4 linked regions of the Notamacropus eugenii genome follow. The protein of the gene in region 4 purifies or fractionates together with the protein of the main gene of each other region. This does not show direct contact. Links are inferred from orthologs where the notes say so. Each region holds a gene or a part of one and is shown on either strand. Other genes may lie near its edges.

Region 1 (7,909 bases), on a different chromosome or scaffold from region 4:
ATGTTATTAGTAACATTAATACACTGGGTCATGTTGTTAATGCCCCAGGTGGTACAATTACTATTCTTCAACTGATCCTTCATCACTTGAAAATGCCTATCAGGGGTGGTAGAATTTCTCCACTGTAAGGTTATTTGAGAGCCACCTGCATGCAGTCATGCTCCTGGGATCCAGGCAAAATTTTCTGAGATGGTGTACAGCAATAGCCATATCCTTAAAAAACACTTTATTCCCATAAAAAGACATGTATTAATGGAACATCATATAAGGTATCGTCTCCTGAGTAACAAACCAGCACTGTATTATTTTTTCCCTCAGCTATGATTTCCACGGCCTTAGGCCAGTCTGTAGGCTTATTTTTATCCCATGCCTTGGAGTCAATTGTCATATTGGTAGTACCAAATCCTCCCCTTCTGGCATCAGAAGATTCTGGTGTATGAATTTTGGCCCATTCAAGATTCAGGCAAGGGATAATAACTAGTTGGGCAGCTCTCCTTCTGTTGTAGGATAAGGTTCAGTATCCAAATTTTGCAAAATTATTTTAATTTCTCCAACATAGTCGGAGTCAATTACTCCTCCTAGTACACCTACTCCTCAAACAGCTAAACTTGATCAGGATAGTATCTGCCTATAATGGCAGTATTTTGAGGCTAGGGAGAAATGTGATTCCAGAATTGGGGCCCAAGTACATGCACCCAAGCACCCCATCATTCCCCTCTTAAACAGATGGGACCCAAAATCTTTCTGGGGTAAGGGATGAAGGTCTCAGATTCCGAAACTGCTTCATGCTGAGATTGGACGTAGAGCTGTCCCTGCCTTGAGAGGTCCCATTCAGGGGGTTGGTTCTTCAGTCAGTGTCAGGAACATGATCCAGGTCCGGACAGTGATGTGTAATGGTCTCAGACAGAGGGTGATATACAGCCAGAACGGTCATCTGCGAGTGGAAGGAGCTAAACCTGGAGGAGACAAATCTGGCAAGGAGATTAAGCAAACAAAGGCCAAAAAATGACCAGAAGGGGTGAAATATGGGTTGGTATCCCTTAGGCAGGGCCATCTCAAATCTGGCAGGGTACTGATTATCAAATGAAGTGACAACCCTTTTCTGTCTTCTGAAGATTCTTCCCCCCACTCTCTCGTCAACCATCGGAGCCTGGTACAAAGGTATCCGGAGCAGCCGTCTGGAGACAGGAGAGGCTTGGATGACCCCCATGTGTCCCCAACCTTCTCTGCCTTCTGCATTCTCAATCAAACCTTTATTTATCTTTCGAAATCTCTTGGGCCCATTGTTCAGGCGGCTTCACTCTCCTTTATATCCCTACCACGGACGAGATAGCTCACAAGTGATCACTCTTCACTAGCATGGCTGCATCGCCTTAAGCAGAAGGGGTCTCCAGCTCGAACCTCACAGCTGAGCAGACGCGCCTCGCTGTTCCACAGGCTTGTTTGTCTCCTGATCGCTCACTCTGGAAGGGAAGCTTCAGAACTCAGCTGTCGCCGCTGCCCCCGGCGAGTCCGGACCCAGCGCTAACTCCTGCTGAGGCGCGGGGCAGCACAGATGTGGGTGGAGACCGACGTCCTGCGCTCCGCGGTCACCCCGCATCAGCTCTGCGGTCACCCCGCATCAGCTCGCGGTCACCCCGCATCAGCTCCGCGGTCACTCCGCATCAGCTCGCGCATCAGCTCTGCGGTCACCCCGCATCAGCTCGCGGTCACCCCGCATCAGCTCCGCGGTCACTCCGCATCAGCTCGCGGTCACCCCGCATCAGCTCTGCGGTCACTCCGCATCAGCTCGCGCATCAGCTCTGCGGTCACCCCGCATCAGCTCTGCGGTCACCCCGCATCAGCTCGCGGTCACCCCGCATCAGCTCGCGGTCACCCCGCATCAGCTCGCGCATCAGCTCTGCGGTCACCCCGCATCAGCTCTGCGGTCACCCCGCATCAGCTCGCGGTCACCCCGCATCAGCTCGCGGTCACCCCGCATCAGCTCGCGCATCAGCTCTGCGGTCACCCCGCATCAGCTCTGCGGTCACCCCGCATCAGCTCGCGGTCACTCCGCATCAGCACGCGGGCCGTCCCGAGAACGGAAACTCGGCCGCAGGGGACAGACGCTCCCTCTCCTTCTAAGAGCCAGCGGCCGCCTGGTCCCGACGCCGGCACTAAAGCCTCCGGGGAGCGCCATGAAGCGCTCTAGCCGCGGCTCCCTTCCTTCGAAGCAGACGCTCACCCCGGAGCCGAGCTGTTACCAAGGCGCCCTCGGGCGATGGGGCCCCGAAGCCCACGGACTGAGCCCGCAGGCACGGCGTGCTACCCGAGGAGCTGTGACGGCGTCGCGCCGGGGGCAGCGAGAGGCTGGCCGCGGAGAGCCCCTTCTGAACAGCGGGAGCGTCTCGCGGGGAGTCTCCGCGCGTGTCCCGTCTGACGGCCCGGCGAGACGACGCCACGGGCCCACTGTGACTGACCGCAGAGAAGGAAGGCGCGGCACGTGACCCGCCGAGCGTGGCGGGCGAAGCCCCTCGGCTCCGTCCGAGCTCAGAGGGGTCAGACCCTCCGGCCAGTCGGGCGGGAAGATCCAGGACACTCGGTTCGGACACGCGGACAGGGGGCCGGGAGCTCGTGGGCCCGCAGGAAGGCGCACGCGGCCCGCTCGGGGCGGCAGCGGGAACCCCCGAGACCGCCCGGTACCGACGGGACCGCAGCGGTACCGACGCGGGTAGAGGAGGGGACGGGGAAGCGCTTTGTTCAGGGGCGTGGGACGTCCCTTCACGGGCGGCCCCGGCGGCCCCTGGGAACGTGCCCACGCGGACACGAGCGTGAGGCGGGACTGGCGCCCACGCGCCGGGGCTCCCCGAGCACAGCTCCTCTACCCGCCCGGCTCCGTGTCTTGGGGGCTGCGTGGACGTCTAGGAGAAGGAGCGGGCGGGGTTTGTCACGCGCGTTTTTGACCTCGAGGCGGGGACGACGGCGCCGGGTCTGCCACGTGGCTGCCACGTGACTGCCCTGAGGTGGCGGCCCGGGACCCGCGGGATCGCACCCGAGAACGCCGCCCGCCTTCTCCGGATCTCAGACCTTCCCACCGCCGGGCCTGTGCCCCTCGCGGGCCCCTGGGCACGGCGGCCGTCCGTGAGAGCGCTGGTGGGGGGGGGCGGTATGCGGAGCGCCCCCTGCTGTGCGGGTTGGGCGCGGTGTGGCCCGGCTCGGGTGCACAGACCCGGAGGAGGCCTGGTTGTTCACGTCGGGACTGGTCGTGACTGCCCCGTGGAGGGGCGTTCCACGGCCAGTCTCGGTCCGTGTCCCGCGTGGCAGCGGACACCCGCGCGGAGAAGGCCCACCGCCCCCTCCCTGGCGCACCCCCAGCTCCCCGGCCCTTCTGACCGCCTGCACTGCGCGTGGGACGTGTTCTGCGAGGGTCCGAGTGTCCCCCTGCACACGCAGCAGCTGCGGGGCGTGGGGCTCCTGCCCCTGGGGACGGAAGGTCGGGGTGCCCTCTTACACGGCACGTGATGGGTCTGACCCACGGGGGCACTGCCTTCGTGCTCCAAAGCGGACGTGGCTCCTCACGGTGCCCTGCCTGCGTGTTCTCAGCAGCTGCCGCCAGCTCCCACGTGCCCAGGGCCCTGGCACCTCCGGGTACGCCCCCCACAGCAGGGGGTTCGCCCACGGCTGCCGGGCTGTGGACCTGGAAAATCGGTTAGAGAGAAGGCAGCGGGCTGATGCACACATCTGTGATCTAATAATCGATGGATCCATTCCCTGTCACAGACAGCGGTAGCACAAGGCATCGCGGAGCCGGGCACGTCCTGACTGCCCGGACAGAGACCTGGGCGGCCTTCAGTCTGCTTAGGACAGCCGTGTCCATGCCCTCAGACCCGCGGTCTCCAGGTGACTGACCGGATGTTAGGAAGGAGCTTCTTAATGGCGGGCTCCCCATGGAAACACGACCAGGGCTAACACGCCATCACACGGTACATGTCTGCACATAGGAAGACATGGAAACGTCCTGTTATCCAGGAGAGTGTCCTAGGTTAAAGGTCTTAAGGAATGTTACGTCAGCCCTGGCGGGCTCTGGGGGCACAGGAGGAGCCCTTCTCTGAGCCAGGAGATGATGCCAGAACGTCAGTGCCAGGGGGTCAGGGGCACCCCCCCCCCCAGAGCGGGCACCACGATCCGGGTCAGACGGCCTTGGGGGGCGGGGGCCGCTCCCCGCGTTCTGTGTCCTGCTCCGGGCCCGCCCCCCTCCCCCCGTTCTGTGTCCCTGCCCCGCACCCCCTCTTCTCCGCCGGGGCCGCCCCCTCCCCCCTTCTCTGTCTCGGGGCGCCCCGCACCCCCTCTTCTCCGCCGGGGCCGCCCCCACGCGGGCAGAGGCGGAAGGCCTTGTCACCCCGCGGCCCCTGGGCGCCCCGAGCGAGGTTAGGGTGCTGTGAAGGCTTTTTCATGATAGAAACATGGCGAGTGGTGAAAACCTCAGCTAAAACTCTTGCCCGGAGGCTGCCCGAGCTCCCCCGCCCCCCTCCTTCCTATCGGGCGGGGTCACGGTGTCGGGGTGAGGGGCATTTCCCGGGGTTCGCGGCCCCCAGCCAGCGGGGGGGGGATAAAACTGCGCTTCGGGCTGAGTGGCCGCCCTCCGGCGGGTCCCCGAGAATTGTGATAAACCTTTGTCTTTCTGTTCTTATCGAGAAGCTTATTCATTTATTTAAGGTTTGGAGGAAGGGTCTTTTTATCCCACACACCTCCGTGGACCCCGGCCCCGCCCACGTGAGGGGGACCCCAGCCCAAGGAGAAGGAAGAGGGCCGCGACCTCGGTCTGCCCCGCGGAAACCCTCCCCATGGCGCGTGCGCCGGTGCAGAGGAGACGCGTCACGTGACCCTCCGCGTACGCCGATAGCGTCACTTCCTGGCGCGACGCGAGACACCGGAAGTGAGGTGACCGCCGCAGAGAGCGGCGCGGGCGCGAGGCGTGGTTTCGAGATCTCCCGAAGCCGAAAGTCCGTACTCTACCCCGCCAAGCTCCGTCCGAGAGTCCGCGGACTTCGCGGCCCCAGGAGCGCCGTCCGGTGTGGGTGAGTGAGGCGGAAGCGCGCGGCGTCACTTACTTCCGGGGCGGGTGTGGCGTCACTTCCGGCGCGTGGGGGCGGGGCCCGGCCCGGCCGAGGCCGCGGCTCTGAATGGCTGCGTGGGCCATGGCTTGCCCGCGCCGGTCTGCCGGGGCCCCCCCCCCCCCCCAACCCCCGCCGGGATCGCCCGGTGGCGAGGAGCTCTGTATTTAGAAGGCCCGAGGAGCCAACCTGGATTAAGCGCCTCCTGTATGCCGGCCCCTCGCCGGTCACCCCGGCTGCCCCCTGGCCCTTGTGTAACTCGGTGCCCCAAGGACCTGAGCTGGAACCTCCGGGTCAGTGCGGGTCCGGAACCGAGCGGGGGGACGGGGAGGGGCGCCCGTGCGGGGCACCGGGCCGAGCTCTTTACCACCAGCCCGTGAGGTGACTGGCCCAGGCTCACACAGCCGGTCCGGGCTGGGTCCGGGGGCCGAGCCTTTGCCTCTCGCCTGTCCAGCGCAGGTGCCTTTCATAGATAAAAGCCCTGATTCCCGGGAGGGGAAGGGCCGCGCCCGGAGCCGCTCCCAGAGGCCTCCCTCGTGTCCCCCGGGCTGGCCCCCTTCCGCGGGAAGCCTTCTCTGTTAGTCACTCTCACTGTGTCTGTCCCGGCTCCGTGAGGCCGCCTCCGCCTCTGTGTGCGCCCAGTGCTGCGCACGTTTCCAGGCACAGGGTGTGTGCCCCGTCGGTGTTTACCGGCTGACTTCCCGGGCGCCCGGCCCCGCACTGTTTGAGGCGCCCAGGAAGGGGCCTCCCAGCCCTGGGAGCTGCGAAGGGGAGTCCTGGCTGACCCTGAGGCGGGCAGCTCACCGCCCCCCCCCGCCCCCCACCCCCGAGAATTCGGGGGCCCCACCTCCCCTCCCCCCTCGGAGTCCGGGGAGGCCGCGAGGCGAGCACAGGGCTTGGGCTGGCCTTTATTTCGCACGTGTCTCCGTCCCTAAGGCCCGGGCGGGGTCGCAGGCAGCGGACAGACGGACAGGCGAGGCGGGCGGACTTGGCTTCATAGATAAAAAGCGCGCACACGGCGCACACGCACACGCGTGCTGTCACATGCAAGTTAAAGGAAAGGTCCAGCCCGAGCACGCTCCGCCGGCGTCCGCTCGGGCCGAGAAGCTTGCCCGCGCAGGGCTGGACACGGGCACGCAGACGACGGCGGACATCGCTGGCGTGGGAGCTTGGGGACTGGGCGGAGACGGCGTGAGCACGCGCCTGCGCTCACTCTAACCGGAGCAGCTCCACGTCAAAGATGAGGGTGGCGTTGGCAGGGATGACTCCCGGGTGCCCCGTGGTGCCGTAGGCCACGTCGGGAGTGCAGGTCAGCTTCGCCCTCTGACCCAGGCTCATCTGACAGGTGTGGGGGCAGGGAGGAAGAGGGGAGAGAGACAGGGGGGGGTGTGGGGGTGGGTATCTGCCCCCCACGATCCAGCTGCCCACAGCCCAGGGCACACACTAGTCGGTGTCCTCCCCATGCCAGCTCAGCTCCCCTGTTCTTTCCTACATTCCTGATTCCCTCTCCTCCATGACAGCTGCTGGGGAAAGTCCCAAAGACATGGTGTGAAGACAGGGGTCTCAGGAGCAAGGAGGTCGTCAGGGCACTTCTAAGTAACTGGGTGAGGAGCAGGTAGCAGCGCACAAGGCTGCCACCCTCAGGTGCCTTACCTGGGCAGTGCCTTCTTCAAACCCCTTGATCACTTCTTGTCTGCCAATCTTGAACCTGAAAGGCTTATTTCTGTCTCTGGAGGAATCAAATTTCTTCCCATTCTGGAGCATTCCTGCCAAGACATTAGATTAGTATCAGCCCTGGGTCTGAGAGGAAGCTGCGAGCCCTCCCCTTCTTCTACTCTCCTCTCTTCCCTTCTCCTTCTCTTTCTTTGGTGGAGGAAGTGATGGCCACTTCCAGGGTCTGAGTCCTCAGGGCAGGTCAGAGGGTTCCCCAGCTTAGACCCATTGCCCTAAGGTACACAGAGTTAGCCCCTGCAGCCCAGACTGTAACTGCTCTGGTGAATAATTCATGGTGCTGACAGAGTCCATCGAGGAGCCCAGAGGCTACATATCCTGAACACTTTCTGTGCTTTCCTTAATGATGGAGAAATGGAAAAGGGATAATCCATCAAGAAGCATGGATTAATTGCATGCTGTATACTAGGCCCTGAAAAGCAGGAGCCACGTTTCCCATAGGCCAGTACCCATCCTAGGAGGCAGGGAGACCCATTTCATACTGGTCATCCACGAGGGCTCCTTCCAGGCTCCTGGCCCGTGGTGGAGGAGGACTCTGAGATGGAGACCTGGAGAACGTGACCATAATCCTGCTGGGGCACTCTCTGTCTCACAAAGTTTGGCCCTTATGTAGACTTGAGTGAATAGAACGTGTGAGAGTCCCCAACATGGAGCCCTGTAATCGTGGCACCAACGTTGCCTGGATTCTTTAAGAGCTGTCTCATTGATTGGTCTTCCCCAGACTAGCAGGGAGCTCCACAGGTGACATTTGATCACCTGCCTCCCTGATCACCACACCTCACCTGCCCAACAGGAGGGCAGAGGGTGGGGACATCCATTTAGCCCCTGCTCCCTTCAGGCCCTGGGTTAGTGGGTAAAGCATAGGAGGGGCAGACAGCATGACCTCTGCTGCTTGACCCCTCTAAGGCTATACAGGGAGAAGAGGTGGTCGCCTGTGCAGAAAGACTGTAAGGAAGGGGCAGCCTTCTCCCCGTCCAGGGACAGTGGGCACAAGTGGGCCCTCAAGCAAAGCGTCCCAGAGCCCCCACTGAGTGGCAGGGGCTGCCCGACCAGATCCCCGAGACTCAGTCCATTCCTTTATGTCC
Region 2 (6,889 bases), on a different chromosome or scaffold from region 4:
GAAATGGTGGTATATGAATTTTTATTGTTTCCCTGTTATAAAAGTATTATTTCAAAAAGTGCATTTGATTTAGCCATGACTATGCAAAAAGAATATCAGAGCCTGACCCTAAATGTATCTCGACAGACATGTTTGATTAGGACTTTTCTCAATGTAAACATTGGAGTATTTTGATAAGGATTGGCAAGGACACCCTCCACATTTTTAAAAATCAGAACCCTCTTTTGTATATATAAGATTTTAAAAGTGCTCATTGACAAAATATTCTTTATCTTCAATGGAATAAAATTCTTAATGAAATAAAATCAATTGGTCAAGGAGGAAAATATTGTTGAATTCTTATGCAAGCAATCTAAAACCATTCCACTGAAAATTATATTTTAAAAATAATTAGCCAGCCACATCTTCATAGAACACCCTCTGCTGGAGTTTACCATATGTAATGGTCTATGCTGAGCCATAGATTAGATCTTTTTCTCCCTAAATTCTAAATACAACAGATTTCAATGTGTCTGTATTTTATGAAAAAAAGAAAATTTTTAAAAGTCAGACTATGGATATTGGTAATGTCCTTGGAAATGACTAGTTATTAAACAGAATCTTGAAATTCTAATTTCTGTTTTTAAAGTTATCCTTGGTTAAATTAGAATATAAGCCACATATGAAAAGTCTTCATCCATGAATACTTTAGACTTGGAGTCAAATTTATTCTCCAGATCCCTAGGGAAATCTGCCAATTTAAGGGAGTTCTGAGATATAAAGGTAAGATTTGTCCCAAGATTTCAGGGCCTTACTACTCTATCTGAGAAATTTCTGCTAAATTCAGACACTGAGATAATTTAAATGAAATAATCACAAATAAACAGTAGCAGGCCAAACTGTCTGACTGTTCTATTTACAGTTTTATGAAGATGAACATAGGTGTAATATTAATCAGAGCTTGTTTGGTTTGACTATCTAGGAGTTTACCATGTGTGTTTTTACCTCTCGCTCTCAGACAGACGTGGTCTTTTATTCTTAGCTATCCTATAATAATGTTTCTCAGGAACCTTTCTTATCTAAACTTCCACCAATCACTCCTAAAGCTAAGTTATGCAGACAAGCCATTGCACAGATTTTCATCAAAATGCCATTTTCCTTAGCTTGAGAAAGCAGAGTTCCCAATGCTGAACAAATAATTTATTAGATTATAGCAACGGAAAATAAATGTTTCCTGTTCCATATATTTCGTTAGCCAGAATTATTATATGAACAAAATTATAAATAGCCAAACATGTATTGAACCATTAATATCACTGACATACTCTCACCAAATACTGTAATTTAACTAAAAGATTTCAAAACAGGAGTGCCTCTCTTGGAAGGTTTCAGGGATTTATATAATGGAGTAATGGTGTTCCTTAATCTTTAATAGGCTACTTTAAATGTATGAAAATATTAAACAGCTGAATTTTTGGCAATGCTGGATTTGGTTATGTGAATAAAATATTTGAATTTTTTTATAGTGACTTTCTGGAGTCTATTAGGATGAGCTCCAGCAATCTACCTTTTAATGTTGCCTAGAACTATAAACAGCTACTGTTGACTTCCTGTCCGAACAATGTAAACATGCTGTGATGGTCACAGATGAGATTTTCACTGAAATCACAACAATGCTGAGCTCTTGCTGCCCTTCTCTAGATTTTTTTAGCAAGCTGGTGATTTGGAGTTAACTTCTGCTTGTCTGTTGTATTAATTTTCCTGATTTTTGGGTACTAATCAAGAAAATGTGGGGAAAAAATATTTTAGAAGCACAATATTATTCCACAACAGGCACAGTCCTGAGTGAATTTACAAGCAGCTGTCTTAAGGAAAGACCCTATGTTGACTATGAAAAAAGGCAGCCATGAAAATCACAGGTTGTTGTTGTGGTTGTGAATGTTGTTGGTGTGTGTGTGTGCATGTGCGTGTGCGTGTGTGTGTGTAAAGGGACTTGGAAACCACTCACCTTTCATTGCTCTTAACTTGTCAATTTTCAACATGTGGAGATTATTAGCAGATACTGCAATTTTAAGTAGAATCCAAGAATGCAGATGTATAATGGATTTTTAAAAATCTTTCTATTAAAGGCATACCAAACTACTACTAAAATTGCAAGTAATGCAACATGCCCATGCAGCTTTTACCTTCCTGGTGTATGTAATAAAGTATTTCTAAAGAATATAGAGACATGCATTTGGTATTGAATTTAAAATCTTCCAAAGTATATAACTTTGAGTCAAGGCGACTGTCCATTCATTGTCTTATCTGGGTAATGAGCTGAACTTCCAGTGGAATGTGAGTTGTACTTTGGTGTGTTTTACTGTGCATTGCAATGGACTGTGTGCACTTCAGTACTTTCCTGTGAATTAGACTGAAATTTGATTGTTCAAGAAAACATCCCACTCAGGCATTCACGCTGAAACTAGCAACAATTGTCAATGACCTTTAACATGCCAGCTTTCCAAATTAGTGCAGATCATTAATCACACATAGCTTACTTTTTATGATTCGTGTATCCTTCATGGCGTCTCTGTCTCTATCTCTTCCTTCCTCTTTCTTTCTCCCTTCCTCTCCCTCACTCCTCTTTTCCCTCTGCCTTTCTCCTCTCTCTTTTCAATGAATCTTTACTTCCCTCCCCACCTTCACCTCCCCTCCAGATCCACTTCTTTGAGAGTGTTGCTCCTCCAGGCAAGGGGACCTTGCCTTGGAGTTTGACTGTGTAGTACTTCCCGTTGCAAGTGCCAGAAGTTGGAGGGCATTCCAGCCGTGCTTGCCTGTTCTGCGTAGAAATACCACATCGCTAGGTAACCGATTCAACTGGAGGGCTGCTTGTCTAGCAAGAACCACTCAGGGTTCTACTGGACAGTGACTTTCTGGATTCCGGAATTATAATAGGGGAAAAGACCTGGAAGGAGAATAGAATATTGCCCTTTCCAAAATATATTCGTTTCGGTTGGGGGGGTGGGGTGGGGTGGGGAGGTGAGAAAGACACACAGACAGAAGGGGGGGTTGGGAGGGGAAGAGTGGGAAAGGCTCCTTCCACACCCTTGATAGCACCAAAATTCATGGGGTTAAATTATAATGCACAGGGCGATATAAGCCGCTCCGCCTTTGGCTAAATGTAGTCTGGGTAAATTGAGTTCTGAAAACAGAAAAATAAGATTTGAACTTTTGAAGGATTAAAGTTAAACACACACACAACACTACAAAAGCCATATGGCACAAATACTGTTGAGAGGTCTTTCAAATATTCCAGTGTAACCGGTGAACTCTTTGATCTTGATTGAGAACTTTAATGTGTTGTTACTGTGCATTTGAATAAATCTATAAATATTTTACCAGGGAGTTAAACACACACACAGACACACACAGGCACTCACACACCGAACCATATGTAATATACATGCATCTGGGACAGCTTGAAACTATGTATCCATATCTAAGCAAACCTTTCAGAGCTCTAGAGAATGGATCTGTCCCCAAGTGCCCAAATTCTCTACAAATGTATAACCGACCCGTGTAGGCGCATACGTGTGTCTGTGTGTCTACATATGTCTGTTTAGTGCATCCAGCAATTGAAGCCCCGAAGTCAGGCAGGGCTGGTCATCTGGAAGAAGGTAGGACAAATACAGGATCGGATAATGATTCAATGCTATTAGCAGAACAATTATTTGTTTATGAGTCATTTGGAGCATCTAGACTTTCCCCGCATTGTAGCAGAACTTTGTGCTGATGAGACAATAGTAGATAGTGTGCATTTAATATAGGACAGACCATTTCTCCTACCGGGGGAAGACACCAACCTATACATGTGGGAAAGGCTCCAGAAAACGCCTTGGTTAGGAGAAGTCCTCTCTGCCCACGTCGCTTGGGGGCCACTGCAGTGCCTCCGAGCCACGGGGCGAGGGGAGATCCGGCGGGGAGGGGCCCCTCGGCGGGCGCTGCGAGCGGTTGGCTCCCCCGGCGTCCCCCCTCGGCCCGAGTGGAGCTGGCGCAGTCAATCATGTGCAGTCCTTTCCTTCTTGCATTCAGCGCATGGTTTCACCTTCAGATTCTTCTGTTTGTCTGCGTCCTTCCAAAAATAACATTACCTTAACTCAGCAAGGTAAGGGGCCCAGAGAGATCTCAGCTCCACTCTTCTTGGGGGAGAAGAAAGAGGTGGAGGAGGAGAAGTAGGGGTCGTGGGGGGTACTCAAGGTAATGGGGATCCTGGGGTGATACGCCCGAGGGGGGGGTTGGAGATGGGGGGGGACGTGGGAGGTGGGGAGGGAAACTTCGCTTTTCCAATTAATAGTTAATCTGCTGAGTAATTTGAAGACTTAAAAATGGAACTTTGGGCTGTTTGGAGAAAAGGAGATTTTTTTTTTTACCGCAGTGGAGGGGGGCGGAGGGGGGGCCGGGACTCCGAGCTTGAAGAAGCCTTTCGCTTTGTATACTTCGTCAAAGGCGACAGGGGAAGATGGGGGGGGGGGGGAGAGGGGGGCTTGGATGCAACATTCATCCATTAAGAAACAAAGAGCAAATTGCCTGACTTTAAAGTAAAATGCTCGGGCTAATGAAGGTGGGTAATGGGGCTCCGAGTCTGGAGTAACCACTTAAATTATTAAGGGCTTTGCTGATAGTATTGATTGAGTGTGTGCATGAGTCGCCTGATGTCCTGTGAATGTGTTTGTGGGTGTGGGTGCGGGTCTTTTTTTTTTTTTTTTTACCCCTTTTTCCCTAGTTACAATCCCATCAGCTGAGAGCACAGAACTGAAGCAGGCATTAAAGTAGTGTACGGCTTATTAAAGGGAAGTTGGGGCACACTGGCGGAGGGGGGGGTCTGTGTGTGGTGTGAGTCAGGAGTGGGGAGAAACAATTATTCATGTAATGACTCTGAAATGCTGAAAAGGGCTTGAAGGACAATGTCTGGGTGGCAATTACTACTAGAAGATGAAATAGCCTGTTTGGGGGGTGGGGTGGGGATGGGAGCTGTTATTTTTCCTAATATAGATACTGTATATAGATAATATGGGAAATAAAAAATGCAACGTTAGATAATGTGGGGGGAGACTGGGCGCATGTTGGAAAAAAATGCCTCATCTTTCATTTCAAGTGAGAATTAGCATACTAAATAGTTACGATCCTCATTTGGATTAAACCACTTTTTTCAAGTTTTAAGAAACTTCGTATGGGTAACTTTGTGAAAAAGCTAGCCTAGTGGGGGTATTTAAAATGAGAGGTTTGTGATGGTGGAATGACAATCAGCCGTTGTTTTCTGAAAAAACCAGCTAACCTCTGCAATTAAGGACCATAGAGACCCAGTATTTTAACTGAAAAGTGTGGGTCTGTAGTCAGCACCATTTATTATGAGCGTTAATAAGCTCCCAGCAGTAGACTAGGATCTTCTGGGGAATGTGCTTTGTATGTGTATATATCTTACTCATTTCATTGCGCATATTGATAAAGAGTCACTTGGACTCTAAATGTGCAAAGATCAACTTGCTTGGACCTCTTTCTGAACGTATTCACTCTGCGCTTTATTTAATCCAGATGCACAAAAACCCATTTGCTGCCTTATTGTTGGCTTACATTTTCTGAAAAGGCGACTGGTGTAACCTGTGGAATTTGAAATGCAAATAAAAGCCTGTGGGAGTTGAGGCAGAACAAATCATCATTTATAAAGTGAAAAAGATTTAATGTCTTTGAAATCATTGCAGGGGGAAAAATTGGGGGAGTGCTTTTTTAAGGAGTCGAAATGTGACGTCAACTCTTTTGGAAAAGATTTTATTTTTAATGTCTGAAACGCGGGTATGTAAAGTGCTTACAGGAAAAACAGATTACAAGATTAACATCTGTTAACATGATCGTTTATCTCCAGCCAAAAATAGGTCAGTTCTTTCTTAAGGAAACACGATTGCTGGCGCATGATTAAATAATGAAATTAGACTAATGAGTTCATAAATTAGAGACAGGCGTGTGTTATAATCTGACCTGGGACAAAAATATTCAATTCGGAAATCAATGAAAGGTCAAAGTCTCCCTTTCGGGTAGAGACCTAGCTATTCACCCCTCCATCGACTCCCCCCTTCTCTCAGGTTCCCCCTAGTCCCAACGAGCCCCCCTCCCCCTGACCCGCCTTAGTTATTGCTAAATTGTCTCCATTTCCCTCCCCTGTGAAGTAAAAGATTATTGACTGACACCCTACTTGGTAAGGGAGGCACAGTCTTTACGTGCAGATGCCCAAGTTTCTGAGGTCTACAGTTGTTTTATCATTAAATGGAAAAAAAAAGTGGCAAAGAATAGGAAACGCCGATGCAAAGTATCCCTGATTTGCATCTCACTGCCCCCTCGTTGTGAGTGACAGCTGAGACGTCCAATCCGGAACCTCTTTCTCAAGCTCTGAGGTAATTGTGTGTGTGTGTGTGTGAGTGTGTGAGTGAATACTGTTAAATCCTCCTAGCCCCGTGCTAATCAGGCAGGCTTCTGTATTTACACAGATTTGTGCATGACTCTCTGTGTGTGGATACTGCTGTACTTTAATCTATATAACTGCACGTAGATGTCCAAAAGATAGCACTCCAGCTATTCACTCATGTAATAATGAAACACGTAGGCATATGCCCTGCTTTTAGATTCAAGCTGAAACCTGTTAAAGTGGGAGAAAATATAAGTGATTTTATTATGTTTCACAGTGGTTCTGTGGCCTTATTTTAGAAAAAATGAGAAATAGATGTCATAGTGTAGCAACCATTTTCATCCCCATGTTATATTTTGTCTTAAGGGGTTTAAGATTGTGATGTGCCACCAACCTTAGTAGCCTGTGGCCAAAAAAAAAAAAAAGTGCATAAAATTAATTGTTTAAGATGGTGACAAAAAAAAGTCATAG
Region 3 (7,080 bases), on a different chromosome or scaffold from region 4:
AGATCACCTGACAGACCAATTTGACTAGAACAGAGTTTTTGAAGGAGTCATATGAAATAAGCCTGGAAAGGTATTTTGTGGATTGTGGAAGGCTTTAAATGCCAGGCTGAGAAGTTTGTATTTTTATCTTGCAGGCAGTAGGGAGTCATTTAGCATATTATATTGTTCAAAAACTGCTGCTTATGGAAATTCAGTAGTGTAGGATTTATGAATTAGGGGATTGCTGTGATACACAACTCACTTTATTGAATGTTCAGGCCTTTTGGACTCTGTTTTAGTGGATGTGCCCACTGTTTAATTTATTGCAATGTCTTTCAATTGGTTCACTTAAGTTTATATATACTATTATTGTTTGTCTGCTTGTTTCTTCTCTTTACCCCAGACCAAGCTATTCCTCTCTGAAAGCCAGGAATTTCTACAAAGTTTGAGGAAATAGGATCTGGGTAACTTAAGAAAGCTGTAGGTTATCTTGACACAGAATAATGGGAAATAGGGTTGATGGAAGCGGAATGACTTTTCACATGTTCATCTTCCATTCTATTACATTTCACATGGTATTGTTTTTCCTTTAGACTCAAAATCTTGCTGCTCTGAATTTGTGTTTGTTATGGAATCATTAAAGTTGGAAGGAATATTTGAGTTTACATAGTCTGACAACTTTATTTTACAAATAAGGACCAGAGAGATTGTATGATTTACCCAAAGTCACACAAGTTAATAAGTGCCGAAGTAAGAATTTGAATTCAGCTCCTAGAACTTCCAAGTACAGCACTCTTTCCACTGTACCTCGCTGCTTAATATTAAAAATATATAAATTAATTTTATAGGTAACTTTTCAATGCATCTATTTCTTAAGGGCATATTTCAAATATTTAAACAAGATCCTTATAAGCTTTCCAATATTCATTCTAAGACATTGTCAAATTTAATTTGTTCTTTCAACCTTCTGATACAAAATTGCTATGGACAAAACCTATGTGCTACTTCCAGTATAGAATCGGCTCACAGACAAGGGATTTAGTCATCAGTACAGCCTCTAAGTGCTTGAGTTTTAAAGCAGGATTTTCCTGAAATTCATAGGTTATTTGGGGAATGGCACAGGGCATTCCAGAATTTGCCCGTTACTAACATATTAAAAGTGGGCCCTGTGACACAGTGAGGAAGGCATGAAGATATCACTGGCTCTTGAATTAGAGGACCTGGGTTTTAATTTCACCTGATGTTTACAGCCTATGTGACCTTAGACAAGTGTCCTAACTTCCCTGAGCCTTGGTTTTCTCATCTGTAAAATGTGGAGTTTGCATTGGATGTTCTCAGAATTCTAGAGCTATGATCCTACGAAGTCACCTAACATCCCAGGCCTACATTTCCTTATCTAGAGCAGTTGGGCAAGCTAGATGGTCTCTGAGGTCCCTTTTAGCTCTGGAGCTACAAGGCTGTGATTAAGTGACGAGTATTAGGAAAAAAAATAGCACCTTGTAAATACATCAGAAACTTTTAAAGTTTCTACCCTCTCTCCATAGTCTATGATCTATCTGATCTCCTAAGAGATTGGTGGTTAAGTTATTCTGCTTCTCACGAGAGTACTGTAAAAACTTGTGTCTACATTTTATTCAGCCAGCCACTGAAGCTCTGCATTCTCATGCTTTGCTTCTCCTAAGCTGAATTCTGATCTCTTCCTCCCACTAAATTATTTTTACTATTTCCTTATTTAGTGACCTATAGCTTATATCTTTTGGGAATTATTTTAAATAATTCTTAGTAGGTAAGCTATGTCCATGCAGTAAAGGACCATGTCTAATCAAAACTACATTTCCTTGCTCTGCACAAATACCTGCTTAACAAAGTTTGCTAATGAAATACAAGTCATTCATGTATTAAATGCAAGTTTTATAGGAGTCTATTAGAAATGGAACTTCCTACCAGTAGATCTAGGACTCTTCAAAAGTATACCTCTATCAGGGAATTGTAAGGACTAAAAACTCTGATGACAGTTCTTAGCTCACTAGTGTGCTCACAGGAGAGTCTAAACACTGGTTAAGGATTTAGACAAATTGACTAATGGTATGGGAATACTGATTTCTCTTGTGTTTAATTCTCCAAATTCTGTGATGCAGTGAAAAGAACACTGAACTGAAGGTCAGTGGATGTGGGTTCGAGTTTCTATTCTGTCAGCTAGGGGTAGAAGCTTGGAAAAGCTGCTTAATTTCATTATGTTTGGAGACAGAATTTTAAAGTCCCCTACAGCTCTAACATTTTCCTATGATTAACATGATAATCAAATCTAACAATGGTTTTTTTTAAAACCTTTTAAAAAGCTCTTTAACAATTTGGTCAATTGAAAATAGTGCACTTAAAGTACTTTCACCTATCTAGTCAGTCAGTCAAACCACATTTGAACCGTTGGTCTCCAGATGTGCCCCCAGTTGGCATAGGTGGCACACAACCACTCAATTAGAGATTAGTTACTGCCTCTTGTTTTAAACTGTACTTTATTGTGATCTGATTTTCACTCGTGTTATCATTCAGCAACAGTGCAGTGGATGTTTGAGGGTAGATCTCTATATTTTAAACAAAATTCCCTTGGGGCCTAGTAGGGTGTCTTAAAAATAGCAGGGTTCTCAAAATCCTACTGGCGATTGCATGTTTCCAAAAAGAAACAGAGGAAGGCTGCATCTTTTCTCTGCTTTCTTGTCTTCAGTTCAGCAGCGGGGCCTCCTGCCAGGTACTGGACAGGGCATCTCAGGAAAGGTTCCCTGACCATGGCTGTGTTTGTAAGGGCACCTCGGCCCAATGTTAGCAGTACCGGGCGGACGCCGGCCCCTTGGGCATGGACACCAAGGGTGTGCAGTACGGGGTGCACCAGTTCCGCCAGGGACACCAGAGTTCGCTAACTCCAGTTGGACGCGTGACTACTGACATGGGCCACTCAGGACTGTCCCTAGCAACTTCAGCCTTCCGCACGCCGGGAGCCGCCGAGCGGGCCAAGCCGGCCTGCAGGGCTCGCTTCGGGAGGCACCCCCGGCACTGTCCAGGCTCGGGCACTCGGGGCGTCCGTGGGCACGCAGGGACACCTGCTCCGCTCGCAGCGGTCAAGACCACTAAAGGAGGGTATTTATTGTTCCCTTTGGGAACTGGAGACCCTCCCTCGGCACCCCGACAGGGGGAGAAGCCCCGCGGTCCAGGGCTGGAAACAAAGCTCCTCCCAGAGCAGCTGTGGCCGCCGCCCGCGGGTTCCTTTCACTTTCTCACGGCCAAGTCACCCCGGAGCGCCGCCGCCTCTGCCGCTGCTGCACTAACAACTCCACCCCGCACGGCCTCGCTGCGAGCCTCCACGCTCGGCCCCGCCCACAAGCCCGGGCCCCGCCCTCCCTCGACATCCCCACCTTCCAATTGGCCGACGCGGACGACTGCTTTAGTTCGCCTCCTCCATTGGGGGGGGCACACTGTCCGTCGTCCGCTCGCCCTCCATCCTCCCGTAGAGCCACTTTCTTATTGGAGGAAGCGGGGTGGGGAGGGGTGACAGAGAGAGGGGCGGGCTAAGAGCGCCGGTCCAGCCGCCGTCTGTCAATCGCGGAAGCCGGCGCGGGGAGGAGGGTGCCGGGAGGAGAGGAGGGGGGGTGGGGGGGTCGGATTGGGGAGGAGGGGGGAAACATCTGGCCGGCGCCGCCGCGTGCGTGCGTGGTGCGTCCTCCCACCCCCTCCCTCCCCCGTCCCCCCGCCCGCGCTCCCCTCCCCCTCCCCCTCTCCCTCTCCAGCCCCCTCCCCCTCCCTCTCCGTTCCCTCCCCCTCCCTTCCCCCCCACCCCCCCACCCCCGCCCGGCGCTGCGCTCGCTGTGTCTCTGGCTGGCTGCGGCCGCCGCTGGGCTGCTGCCATGGGGAGCCGTTGAGAGTGGGGCCCTCTTCGCTCCGCCGCGCTCCTCCGGCTGCCAACGGGGGCGGGAGTGAAGGGGGAAGGGGGGGAGCGGGCGACGGAGCCGGGGCTGGGGGGGTGGGGGGGGGACGGGAGGGAGGGGGGCCGGAGGAGGAGGAGGAGGAGGAAGCCCACCAAGTCCGGGAGCGGCGGCGGCGAGGAGGAGGAGGAGGAGGAGGACGCGGACGCGGCGGCGGCGGCGGCGGCGGGGACGCGGTGACTTAGGGCCGCTCCAGGGTGTGAGTCCCGGTTACGGCACGTTTCCCCCTGACCCCGGCCCCCCTCCCGCCCCCTCCCCCACCGCCCGGCCCGGGGTCAGGGAGTGGAGGGCGGGCCCGGGGCAGGACGGGGCGGGGGGAGGGCGCACCAGCTGTTCCAGCCCCAGCCCCGGGAGCCGGGGGGCCGGGAGAGAGTGAGCCCGAGGTGAGGGAGGAGGGGCCGGGCCGGGCCGGGGCTCGTCTCGGAGGAGCGGAGTTAGTTTGCGTGGTTCGGGCTGTTGGAGCTCTGCGCCGGGGGGCGGTGCAGCTGCGGGGAGGCCGGCGGGGCGCCCCCCCCGGGGGTGCGGTGCGGGGCCCGCCTCGCCTCTCGGGGCCGGTGCAGCTGCGGCGGAGGGGCAGGGGGCCCGTGCAGCTGCAGAGCCTCCGGGGGCGGGAGGGAGGGGGTGATGGAAGCGGGGGGAGGCTGGGGAGCCGATGCAGCTGCGGCGGCGCCCGGGACGGACGGGGCTCCTGGGGGAGCGGTGCAGCTGCGGCGGCGCCCGGGCCGGGGCAGGGGGCTGCGGGTGCTGGTGCAGTTGCGGCGAGGCCCGGGGGCCGGCTGCTGGGGCGTCGGGGAAGCGGCGGCGAGCACTCTGCTCGCTTTGGCTTCTTCTGGCGACTTTTCTTTTGTTGCTGCTGTGACCCGGCTCTGTTTTCTTCTGTTGCTGAAGGTGTTTTCTTGTGGGCTGGCCGCGAGTCCCGAGTCTTTCCTTCTGGCCGAACCCTCTTCCCCCCCACCCCCTTTAAAAAATCTGCCCAACGTGCTTTACCTGGAGCGTACTAACTAGAGATTGGCACCTTTCCCTCCTTCCTCCGACCCCCTTTAAAGACGAAAAGTAAAACCTCAACCTCTCTGGACCAGCAGCAGAGCGAGCGGGGTCGACTGGTCGAGTGAGGAGTCGCCCAGTCCATTGCGGTGTTGGGGACCCATTAAACTGTCACTTACCCCCACCCCACTGAGTAAATGGGGTGATTCATGGCTGATCACGGGGAGCAGGGAGAGGACATTTGTGCAGAAGGAGCGGATCCTTAGACTACCAAGTCTAATTGACTTTAGTAATAAACTCATTGTTAGGAAAAGTTAGTTTTTGAGGATTGGAGGGAAGGGAGAGCTGTTGACTTTGCCATTCATTTAACATTCCTCACTTTTTTCCTAACGTGGATGCAGTTCATTAACATTTGAGCTGGGGCACTTACAGTTGAGCTATAAGGCCATGTTTCTCTCCCCACCCCCCCATTCACACCTCGCCCTTCCAAAGGTCTTTGGGGATGAATCTGACATTCACAGATGTCAGTAGCACCATGCGTAGCACCATTCTGTCCAGCTGAGGTTACACCTCTATTTCATCAGCCATTAAACCCCCCCCCCCCAAACCAGTTAAAAACTTTCTGCACTAACTGGACTTATGTATATGAGGGACCTCTTTATTATGATCAGTAAAATTACAGCGTGACCCCAAAAATACTGTTGTGGGAAGCAGATCAAGGGGAAGACAAGGTTCTGCTTTTTTGGCCAGAAAGTTAGATCAGATATGCAGGTGCAATGGCCATTTTAATCCTCTGTTACAGATTGTATCCAGTTTATTAGTTTGTTTCACTGAATGTAATCACTTCTCAGCATTTTTTAGAAAAGTAAAGCTTTCAGCTTGTTGGTATTTTGAATTGGAATTGATATTGATTACGACAGTATGAGAAATTATACTTAGAAGGTAGTTGGAGATAAGTAGTTAAGTATGAGTGGAATAATTGTGGTGAACCAGGCTGAAGTAATAGTTTCCAATAAGTCTCCCAACATTCCTGTGACATGTATATTATTATCTCAGCAGAAAAACAAATGGAAGCCCTATGCTAACGTTAAAATGGGAATATAGATTTAGAGTCAAATGGGTTTGATTTAGAAATATCCCAAAGAAGCTGCCTTTGAAACGAACCCTCTAAGTTGAATAAAAGTGAATCTGTGGATTTCCTGAATAGCACTGTGGCTTGAGTATCCTGTCAATATATAAGCCAGTCCACCAACTTAAGACACAAGTGTTGCTATTCCATAAATACAGTAGAGCTCCATATGTTTAGTTTTTCAATTTCTTCTGTTAGAAAGTTTGGGAAAAAAAAGGAGACTTTGAAGTATTTTGTTTATACTAACAGAAGAGAAAAGTTCTCCTAAGAAAAAGCTGGTGGCAGGAGTGTAGAGGAGTAGCATATGGCATTAAAAGGAGCACAGCTGGAGGTAGCATTTCCATCTGAACATGATGTCAGAGCAGCTGACAGCCTGCCATCCCTCAGCCTTTTATTCTAACACACAGACAGGGAGTTAGTGTGTGCAGATCTGTGTGTGGAGAAGGTATCTCATTCCTCTCTAACATCATCTCCACTTTGCATCTGTCTCTCTTAGTCTGCTTTTTTTCCACCGATCTAACAGACCTGGAGCCAGCAAGACTCAGAGGAAAGGACTTAATCAGGTTTATGTGTACTAAAGGTAGGAGTAGCAATAGATTAGATTCAGCATATTTCTGTTTTGGTGTTTTGTTTATTTAATTTGGAAAAATCACATTACTTTTCTAACCAAGTTTAGGGATTATATATGAAATTGAGTATTAAATGAACATCTTGCTGTAGTCGAAAGGCTTGGACTGCAGCATTATCTGTCCCTTTACACTTGAATCAATAACTTTTAAAAATACATATAGGTATTGCAAATTTTGAAATGTAAGTAGGGCTTTGAAATATATTGTTTATGGAGCTCACTTTAAGTTAAATTGTTTTATTTTTTCACTGACATTTTAGCTCCCTTTTGCTTTGAGGAATATTAAATAGCAAAGTGTATGGAATCAAGTATTCAAACTTTTTATGGAAGAATTGTTCTAGTTGAGAAACTAAATTGATTGTATAATGAATTATACTCTTAACACT
Region 4 (7,539 bases):
TGACTGTGCATCATTCTCAAAAGTATTCTAAGAAATCTATCAACAAACATTCTTACTTACCACATGGCATGCACGATCACCTAAATGTCAAGAAGGAAGGAATCATATATGATATACACAAAGAAGAGATAAAATAGGGGAAGTTCAATTTATCATGATGGTAGATTTTTTTTTTTAATAAACAAAATGAACAACCAAAATTAGTCTGCACCTGACAAACCTATTTTACAAGGGATTACAATCCTCTCTTGTTAGCTATTAGTTACTATTTAATCAAAGAATGTTGAATAGATCTTTGATTCAAATGACACGTTTTGAATTATTAAGTAACAAATACCTATCAATGTGCCTCCTTTTGGGGAAACTAATTTCCTTTCTGTTTACTTTCCATTAAATTATGCCACAAAAAGAGGGAAGTTTTTTCTTCATGGCAATTTCTTTATTCAGTGACTCGAGTGTAGATAGTGCTCCTAAGCCAAAAACTGAGAAAAGCTATGATTTCAACCCCTTTTATTGTCAGTAAATAAAAACAGTCATCGAGAATCAAGAATTTAGCGTTCTTCCTCCCTTTCATATTTCTTCCTGGCTTATTTCAAATCTGTCACTATGTAAAGCCATAGCACACTCTTTTCTTTTTCTATGATAATCACCTATGATAATTTGGCCTAAAAGAGACACTAATCTTCCACATTTGCATCATTTCACCTACAGTTTGTGGAACACAGATGTGGTTCTATTTCTTATCTATCTTCTTCACAGATACTCAAATGTGTGTTATTTATTAGAATCCCATGAGTGTGCTATCTTTCCAATACTGACATTATGCAGATAATCCTCTAAATGATTTCCAAAAGGGTAGACAGAGTCACTGTAATTCATAAACACTCTCATTCGGTGGTGCTTATAACTAGCTTAATGGCTCACCAGGATTAAGGAGTGCAGCCTGCTCTTCTGGAAAGCAACAAAGTTGTGGCCTGCCAGGAACTGAATCCATTACTTCTGCTGATTGGTTAATTCAGAGCTGCAAGAGACTTTAGAGCACAGCTAGTTCAAACCTTTCATTTTACAGATGAGGAAATTGAGGCTCCAGTGAAAGAGCTTGCTCAAAGTCACACAGGTGGGAAGTAGAAGGGTGGGAATTTAGACCTAGATCCGATGACTCCAGATGTGTTCTTTTTTCTTCACTATGCTGATCTTCAAAACAAAAAGCCATTTAAATATATTTCTAATAGTTATCATGACCTTGAAATTTTAAGAGTTGGATCCAAAAGGTCTTGGATACTGCACTCTACTTATTAATGATCAAAGGTATGTTATATATGTGTGGTGCAAATATATTAAGAAATAAATTTGTTTCCTCTTATTAAGAGAAGTTAATGATAATGGTATGTACTGTAGGTGATTTATACAAGGTCACAGAGCTATTCATTGAATGGAGAGTGTCATACAACTTTAATTTGTGTTCAACTGATCTTGAATTCAAAGGAGAACCATTCTCTGTGTTACCCTGGGAGGATCATTTCCCTCTAAACTTAAGTTTCCCCATCTGTAAAATGAGGAGGTACACAAGATGGTCTTTAAAGTTCTTTTCAACTTTAAATCCCTTTCATCCAACAAATGTTTATTAAAGATTCACTAGTATAAGGCACCTCATTAGGTGTTGCATATACAAAAACGGAAAGAAAAATAGTCCCTGCCCTTAAGCAGTTGACAAGCCATTGGAAAAAAGTAGATACAATATGTACAAGTTTTCAAATACAGGGTACATACAAAGTAATGCAAAAATAATTTCAAGACATAAAAGGCACTAACAACTGAGCAAGTGTCATCACTTAGAAGAAACTGGGTATTCTAAAAGAAAGGTACGAAGAAGTGTGCATTCCAGATATAGGGGGACTACCAGTACAAAGGCACTAAAGTGGGAAATTAAATGCCATGAACAAAAAATCTTAAGTAATCACAGAACTATCTAAATATAGATATATTTATATACCTTATAGGTATCTATAAGACAGACTTTATGGGTCTAGTGATGGGCAGCATAATATAGAGAAGCTCATCACCAGAATGTCTGCGTGGTGATAGATTTCTGGTCACTAAAAGTCTTGAAGACTTTCTACTAAATCACAGAAGGGTTGCTATCAAAGGAGATGAAATTAGATGTCACTGAAATATGATTATCTGTGCGTGTGCCTTATCAAATCCTAAGAAACTGTAACATGAGAATAGGGACTGTCTTATCTACAATTTTTATCTCCTCCAGGACAGAGCATAGTGTCCTATACAGATAATATTCAATAAATGTTTCTTAAAGGAATGAATGATTTAAACAATGCTTCAACTGGAGGAGAATAAATGATCTTATGAGTGACAAGGAGCATACAGGATAGTCATGAAATCTGTAAAAGACGTCCCTCCCTCCCCCGTTTTAGGATTCTTTTTCCATTAGTTTACCCCAAGAATTCAGCTAGAACTCATCACCTTGTCATGTGATACTTACTTGGAAACAGCTGGGGCTCTAAACACAACCTCAACAGAACAATCTTCCCTTTACTTTCCAAGTGACTTCCTTCCCCACCTCCCACAAATCATTCTTAGCCAGTTGTGGTGTAACCTAAAATGTCCTACATTTGAAATCAGAACATTTGGTGAAAATTCCTTGGTCTAATTACAGTATAACCTTGGGTCTCTTCCTTTCTCCAAACCTCAGTTTTCTCCTTCGTAAAATGAGGGAGTTGGACGACCTCTAAGGCCCCTTCTAGGTCTAAACCCGACGATTTATTCTCCCTCAGGACTGGGTGAGGCAGCCAAGTACAGTGAGTGGAAGAAAGCAAGCTAAATTGGGGGTCAAAGGACCTGGATTCAAATCCCAGCCTAGTAATTTAATACCTGTGTGATAGCCATCTCCTTTCCCCATCTGTAAAATGAAAGAGTCGGACTGGATGACCTCTAAGGCTCCTTCCAAGATCGAAGTAAGAGCCACTACGCCTTGGGTTCAAATGCTGCTCAGTGGGTAACTCCCCTCCCCTCCCCGGACCTCAGTTTCCTTGTCTGCAAAAGGGAGGGGGCTGGGCTGGATGACCCCCGAGATGCGCGATCCTACACGTCTCTGGGCGGTGTTAGCCCCAGGAAGGCTCGGGATCCGCGGACGCTCGCTCCTCAGCCCCGTACTCCCCCCTACAAGGGCCTCTGGGTCATTATTTTAAGTAAAAAGACAGGGCATCCCGGAGGCAGGTGGGGGGCCGTCCAGATTCATTTCCTCCCCTGGTGCCCCTCACCCCATTAACCCTTCCCAGACGGGGCGGGGAAGCCCCCAGTGGTCCCCCTCCCCCTCTCCCCGCAATGACTGGGCGGTCACCCCCACCACATCACCCCACCCCAACCCCCCACCCTCCGCCCCAGCCAGGGCGCCATCCTCCCGGCCCCCCCCCTGGCTAGAGGGTCCCCGGCCCCGAGCCCGCGCTCGCCGTCCCCGCCCCAGCCCGGGCCGCCGGGGGCGTGGACAGACCCCGCGCCCTCCGCTCCAGTGGGGGAGGCGAGTCCCCACCCGCTCCGGGTGGCGCCGTGGTGTGGCCCCTGGCTAGCCAGTCTTCCTCCTGCAGGGGGGCGGCGGAGCGTTTTTTCCCCTTAGGCGGGTCCCTCGGCACCCACCTTGAGGGTTGGATACTCTTGCACCTTCAGGGTCATGGAAAGCTGAGCAGCTGATTCCTGCACCGCCATTTTGGATTGGCCAAAACATTACAGACCAAAGGGAGCCACCTCCGGGGCGCGGTGCATGACGGGTAACAGACAGCTCTCCTTTCCCTCCCACCTCGCCTCCACCCATTACCGGGAGGGAGCAGGCGTTTTAGCCAATCGCTTCCGCCCAACCGCCTGTGGTGGCGGAAGAACGCACAGCTCTGGGCAGGGATGCGTGAAAGGACGACGGGATAGTCCAATCAACTCCCTCCTTTCATGATTCTCTTCCAATCATAGGAAAGCGTAGGCTATGAAGACGTTTTTTACTGGACCGAAAAGAAAGGAGGAAGGCGTATTTCGTTTTTGAGACGCCAGGGCTACAGTGATGATTCCCAATTGGCCCGGGGTCGCCCAGGGGCCAATCAGGGACCTAGTTTCCTTCTGACTCTGACGTGATAGGCGGGGCCAGCCAGGTAGACTGATTGACGTTTCCATTTCCCACATATTTAATGGCTAGGGGCTGCGGTCAATGACAAATTTTATTCTAAACATGGAGACCCTGACGAAAGGTGCTTCTAGCTTCACAAACGAGTGTATAAAATTGCTTGGGCTACTGAAGACGCCCTCCGAGCCTTAGATGGTCATGGGGGCCAATCAGGGACGCCCCTATGCAGGACCACTTTTCGGGGTGGGAAACCAGGAACTTCTGGAATGTACTGGCAGGCTCTCGACCCAATAAGGAGAGAAAGCTCTCCTTGATTGACAGCTTCCTCAGCAAACCAAACGAGCGGACTATGGCGGAGGCGGGAGCAAGGGGGCACAGGGGTGGGTAGGGAGAGGGGGCGTGTCCGGAGGGGGTGGGGAGTTTGAGGAGTTTTGCGGTGTTCGGGGAGATAGTAAGTTGCTTGGGTGGGGGAGGGGCGAAGGGGGTGTGGAAGCTGGGTGGGGGTGTCGAGGAGGGGAGTGAATTGAACACACAGGAGGCAGCGACGCTGGTGGCGGGAACAGGGTTAACCCTGCTGAGACCCCCTCCTCAGAACCCAGTGAGTTCCCCTTCCCTTGCCCCTGCTCCTTTCCCTCCTCTGTGCCTCCCACGCGGGTGCGGGCAGCCGCCGAGGTGGGGGGAAAGGCAGAGCAGCCAGGACCCAGGAAGGGAGGCGGGCCTGGGATCTGGGCGCAGGAAGGTGGGAGGGTACGGGGGTGGGCAGGCCCCCCAGTCCCGGCTCCGGAGTGGGCGGCCCTACTGCCGAGACGTTCCTAATGTTCTAACCGCCCCAACCGCTGCTCGGCCCCGCCCCCAGCCCCCTCCCGCGCCGCGCGCTCCCGTTTTCTCTCCCACCCCCACCCCGGGCGCGCTCTGGGTCGGCGGAGCGAGCTGCTCTTGGGCTCCCTCCGCGTGCAGGAGAGGGGCGGAGGGATCTCTGCTCGGAGGCGGGCCGGGCCGTCTAGGAATGTCCTCGTGCACTCCCGGGGGTGGCCCGACAACTCTCGGAAAACTTCGGGGCCCAGCGGCTTCCTTCTCTGCGGCCGTCCAGCCCCTCCCCGTTCTTAATAAGAATGCGTCTCTGCCTCTCCCCGTCCCGGGAACCAGGCCGGCGGGTTTCCCAAGCGCTCGGCCGGGGCTGGGGCTCTCCCTTCCCCCGGCCCAGCTCCGGAGCCGCTGCTCCCGCTTCCCCCTCGGGGGCGCAGCCGGTGCGGGACGGGCCTCGGGGGGAGGGAGACCCCCCTCCGGAATCCAGAGGTGGCTTCCCCTCCCACCCCGCTCCGGGACTTGACCCGGGCTGGGGCTGCGCCGGCCGAGCCGGCTGCGGAGGCTTCTTCTCCCCTTCGCACTAAGGACGGGGGGCGGGGAGCGGCGACGGTGCGGTTAACCCCCCAACCTGCTCGCGTCTTGGAGGCGGCGGCCACCCCGCGTTGTCACTAAGCGCATTTCTTGATTCTCTTCGCCAAAATGTCTCTTTATGCCCTCTGAACTCCTGCCCTCCCCCGTCTGTCAAAACTCGAAGCTTCAGAAACCCTGTCTGATCGCCACTTCGTGCCCCCAGCGCCTCCAAAAACGTGTCCCCTTCATTTGGTGGAGACTATAAAAGGGATCCTTGGCCTCGTGGGAGCCCTTCGGGAAGGATTGTTGGAAGTCTGACCCGGCCAGGGAGGTTTTTCTGGTTCCCAACGGTCAGGTTTCTGTTACTTGAGAGACAGGATTTGTTCAGTATATGAATTATTATCCATGAGAACTGAAGGCAAGCCTTATCTTCCTGGCACTTTGTTTATGTTTGGCGCTAAGGATTTCATTGTGAACAATGCAATTTTGGGTGTTATGCGGTAAATAATAACTATGATATTGCTGATCCCGTCCCCCAATAAGGCAGTGTATACACAGTACAGGGCGCAAAGTTAATTTACTTTTAAACTGGAAGATTTGGTGGGAGAATGAGTAGCCAAAGTTTAAAGGGTTTACTTAATGGAACAGATGGCTGTGGCACTGGCATGTCAGAGAAAACAGCATGCATTCTTAGTTTAACACAAGAGGGAGCATGTCTAATCTTTAACCTTTAAGTATTGCAACTTCAGAGAGGCAGCTTTAATTGCTGAATGTCAACTGATTTACCCTTCTTGGTAGCATGTATAAATATTTATATAGTCTGTGCATTGTAAGCATGTCATCGGTTTAAGGTTACAATTGTTGGCTTGGAATGATTTCATGGAAAGCTTCTTAGCCTGAGTTTCTCATCTGAGGTTAGGAAGTCTGATTTCCTATTAAAACTAAGAGAAAAGGATTGAGCATTTTAAATTAATTTATAGATAAGATATTTGTTTAATGGTTGGTTCAAAATTTATCTTTTTGGGTAGTTGGCATCCAGTATGAAATGGTAAATTATTTTCTTTAATTTAGTGTTATGTTGTTAAACTGCTGCTGTATTGAAAATTAATTGGATTACAAAATAAAGAAAAGCAAGTTTTAAAGATGCCTTGAATTTCTTTCAGCTGATTTGTCACTTTTTATGAAAATGATCATCAACTTAATTGGGAACTTCATAAGCTATTGCTTTAAAACTTGAGAAGATACACATCTCATACATTTTTTTTTTTAAGTCTGCATATACTGCACAGAAGTTGTAGGTAATAGCATCTAGTGGGGTGGAAAGTGATCTGAAACTTAACGGAAACTTTTCTTGATTTATCAAGGGGTTTGGGAAAACGCATTCTACAAATAAGTTCTAGATTACAGATCTCATAGAATATTTTTTAAAATTTTCTATTAGGAATTAGAGCTTAAATCAAAAAGGAGTTAGTGAAAACCAGCAGACCCCACTTTGATGTTGAAGTGATAACTTTATACCACACTAAGGCTAATCGCCACATTGTAACTAAGACATGGAATAGTTAAGCTCTGGTCTGTTACTTCTGGGAACTTTGTACTGGAGAGACCATATAGCTTAAATTTTTTTTTTTTAACATTAAGGAATTAGTTTTATTTGGAGGTATAGTATAACTTTCCCTTTTGGGGGGGCAGTATTTTAAGTTTAAGTTTAAAGAGTAAAATACTGGGAACCCTTACTGTTTGGTTCTCTGCATATTAATCAGGCATCCAAAGTAAAGATTTTTCATCAAAAAAAAAAAAAGAATCAATTTACTCATAGCTTTTGGAGGTCTCAGTAGCAATACCAAGTTTTGTAGCATCAAAGACTAATCTAGTTCTTCGTTCCTAGAAAGATTGATGGAGTAGTGTGGGGAAAGAAGTTTATGACCTCTAATCTAACTGTTCTGCAGTTCTCTTGGACAAACTACTTAAGCATTCTATACTATAAACCATTGCCTCTTCTGTGCATTTGCTTTAAAGTTTAAAACAATTTTTATTCA

Evidence for each region.
Region 1: the proteins of CTBP1 (region 4) and WDCP purify together in Homo sapiens (affinity purification with mass spectrometry; 3 studies listed by BioGRID and IntAct, counting the BioPlex papers as one, with this or other methods). This does not show direct contact. The link is inferred for Notamacropus eugenii from reciprocal best matches to the Homo sapiens genes CTBP1 and WDCP.
Region 2: the proteins of CTBP1 (region 4) and ZNF516 purify together in Homo sapiens (co-immunoprecipitation; 4 studies listed by BioGRID and IntAct, counting the BioPlex papers as one, with this or other methods). This does not show direct contact. The link is inferred for Notamacropus eugenii from reciprocal best matches to the Homo sapiens genes CTBP1 and ZNF516.
Region 3: the proteins of CTBP1 (region 4) and ZBTB18 purify together in Homo sapiens (affinity purification with mass spectrometry; 3 studies listed by BioGRID and IntAct, counting the BioPlex papers as one, with this or other methods). This does not show direct contact. The link is inferred for Notamacropus eugenii from reciprocal best matches to the Homo sapiens genes CTBP1 and ZBTB18.

Annotation. Positions count from the first base shown.
Region 1 is NC_092872.1:761,414,649-761,422,557, reverse strand, and holds the start of WDCP (WD repeat and coiled-coil-containing protein), read left to right. Parts: upstream 1-4,891; 5' UTR 4,892-5,057; intron 5,058-5,975; exon of another isoform or gene 5,976-6,302; coding exon of another isoform or gene 6,303-6,431; intron 6,432-6,746; coding exon of another isoform or gene 6,747-6,859; exon of another isoform or gene 6,860-7,909. Other genes in the region: peptidyl-prolyl cis-trans isomerase FKBP1B, read right to left, coding at 6,303-6,431, 6,747-6,859.
Region 2 is NC_092875.1:206,431,909-206,438,797, forward strand, and holds the start of ZNF516 (zinc finger protein 516), read left to right. Parts: upstream 1-3,887; 5' UTR 3,888-4,126; intron 4,127-6,889. UniProt on the Homo sapiens protein: Transcriptional regulator that binds to the promoter and activates the transcription of genes promoting brown adipose tissue (BAT) differentiation.
Region 3 is NC_092873.1:405,072,850-405,079,929, forward strand, and holds the start of ZBTB18 (zinc finger and BTB domain-containing protein 18), read left to right. Parts: upstream 1-4,065; 5' UTR 4,066-4,152; intron 4,153-4,248; exon of another isoform or gene 4,249-4,336; intron 4,337-4,921; exon of another isoform or gene 4,922-6,562; 5' UTR 6,563-6,633; coding exon 6,634-6,646; intron 6,647-7,080.
Region 4 is NC_092877.1:48,808,585-48,816,123, reverse strand, and holds the start of CTBP1 (C-terminal-binding protein 1), read left to right. Parts: upstream 1-4,531; 5' UTR 4,532-4,574; exon of another isoform or gene 4,575-4,721; intron 4,722-7,539. Other genes in the region: E3 ubiquitin-protein transferase MAEA, read right to left, coding at 3,652-3,720. UniProt on the Homo sapiens protein: Corepressor targeting diverse transcription regulators such as GLIS2 or BCL6. Has dehydrogenase activity. Involved in controlling the equilibrium between tubular and stacked structures in the Golgi complex.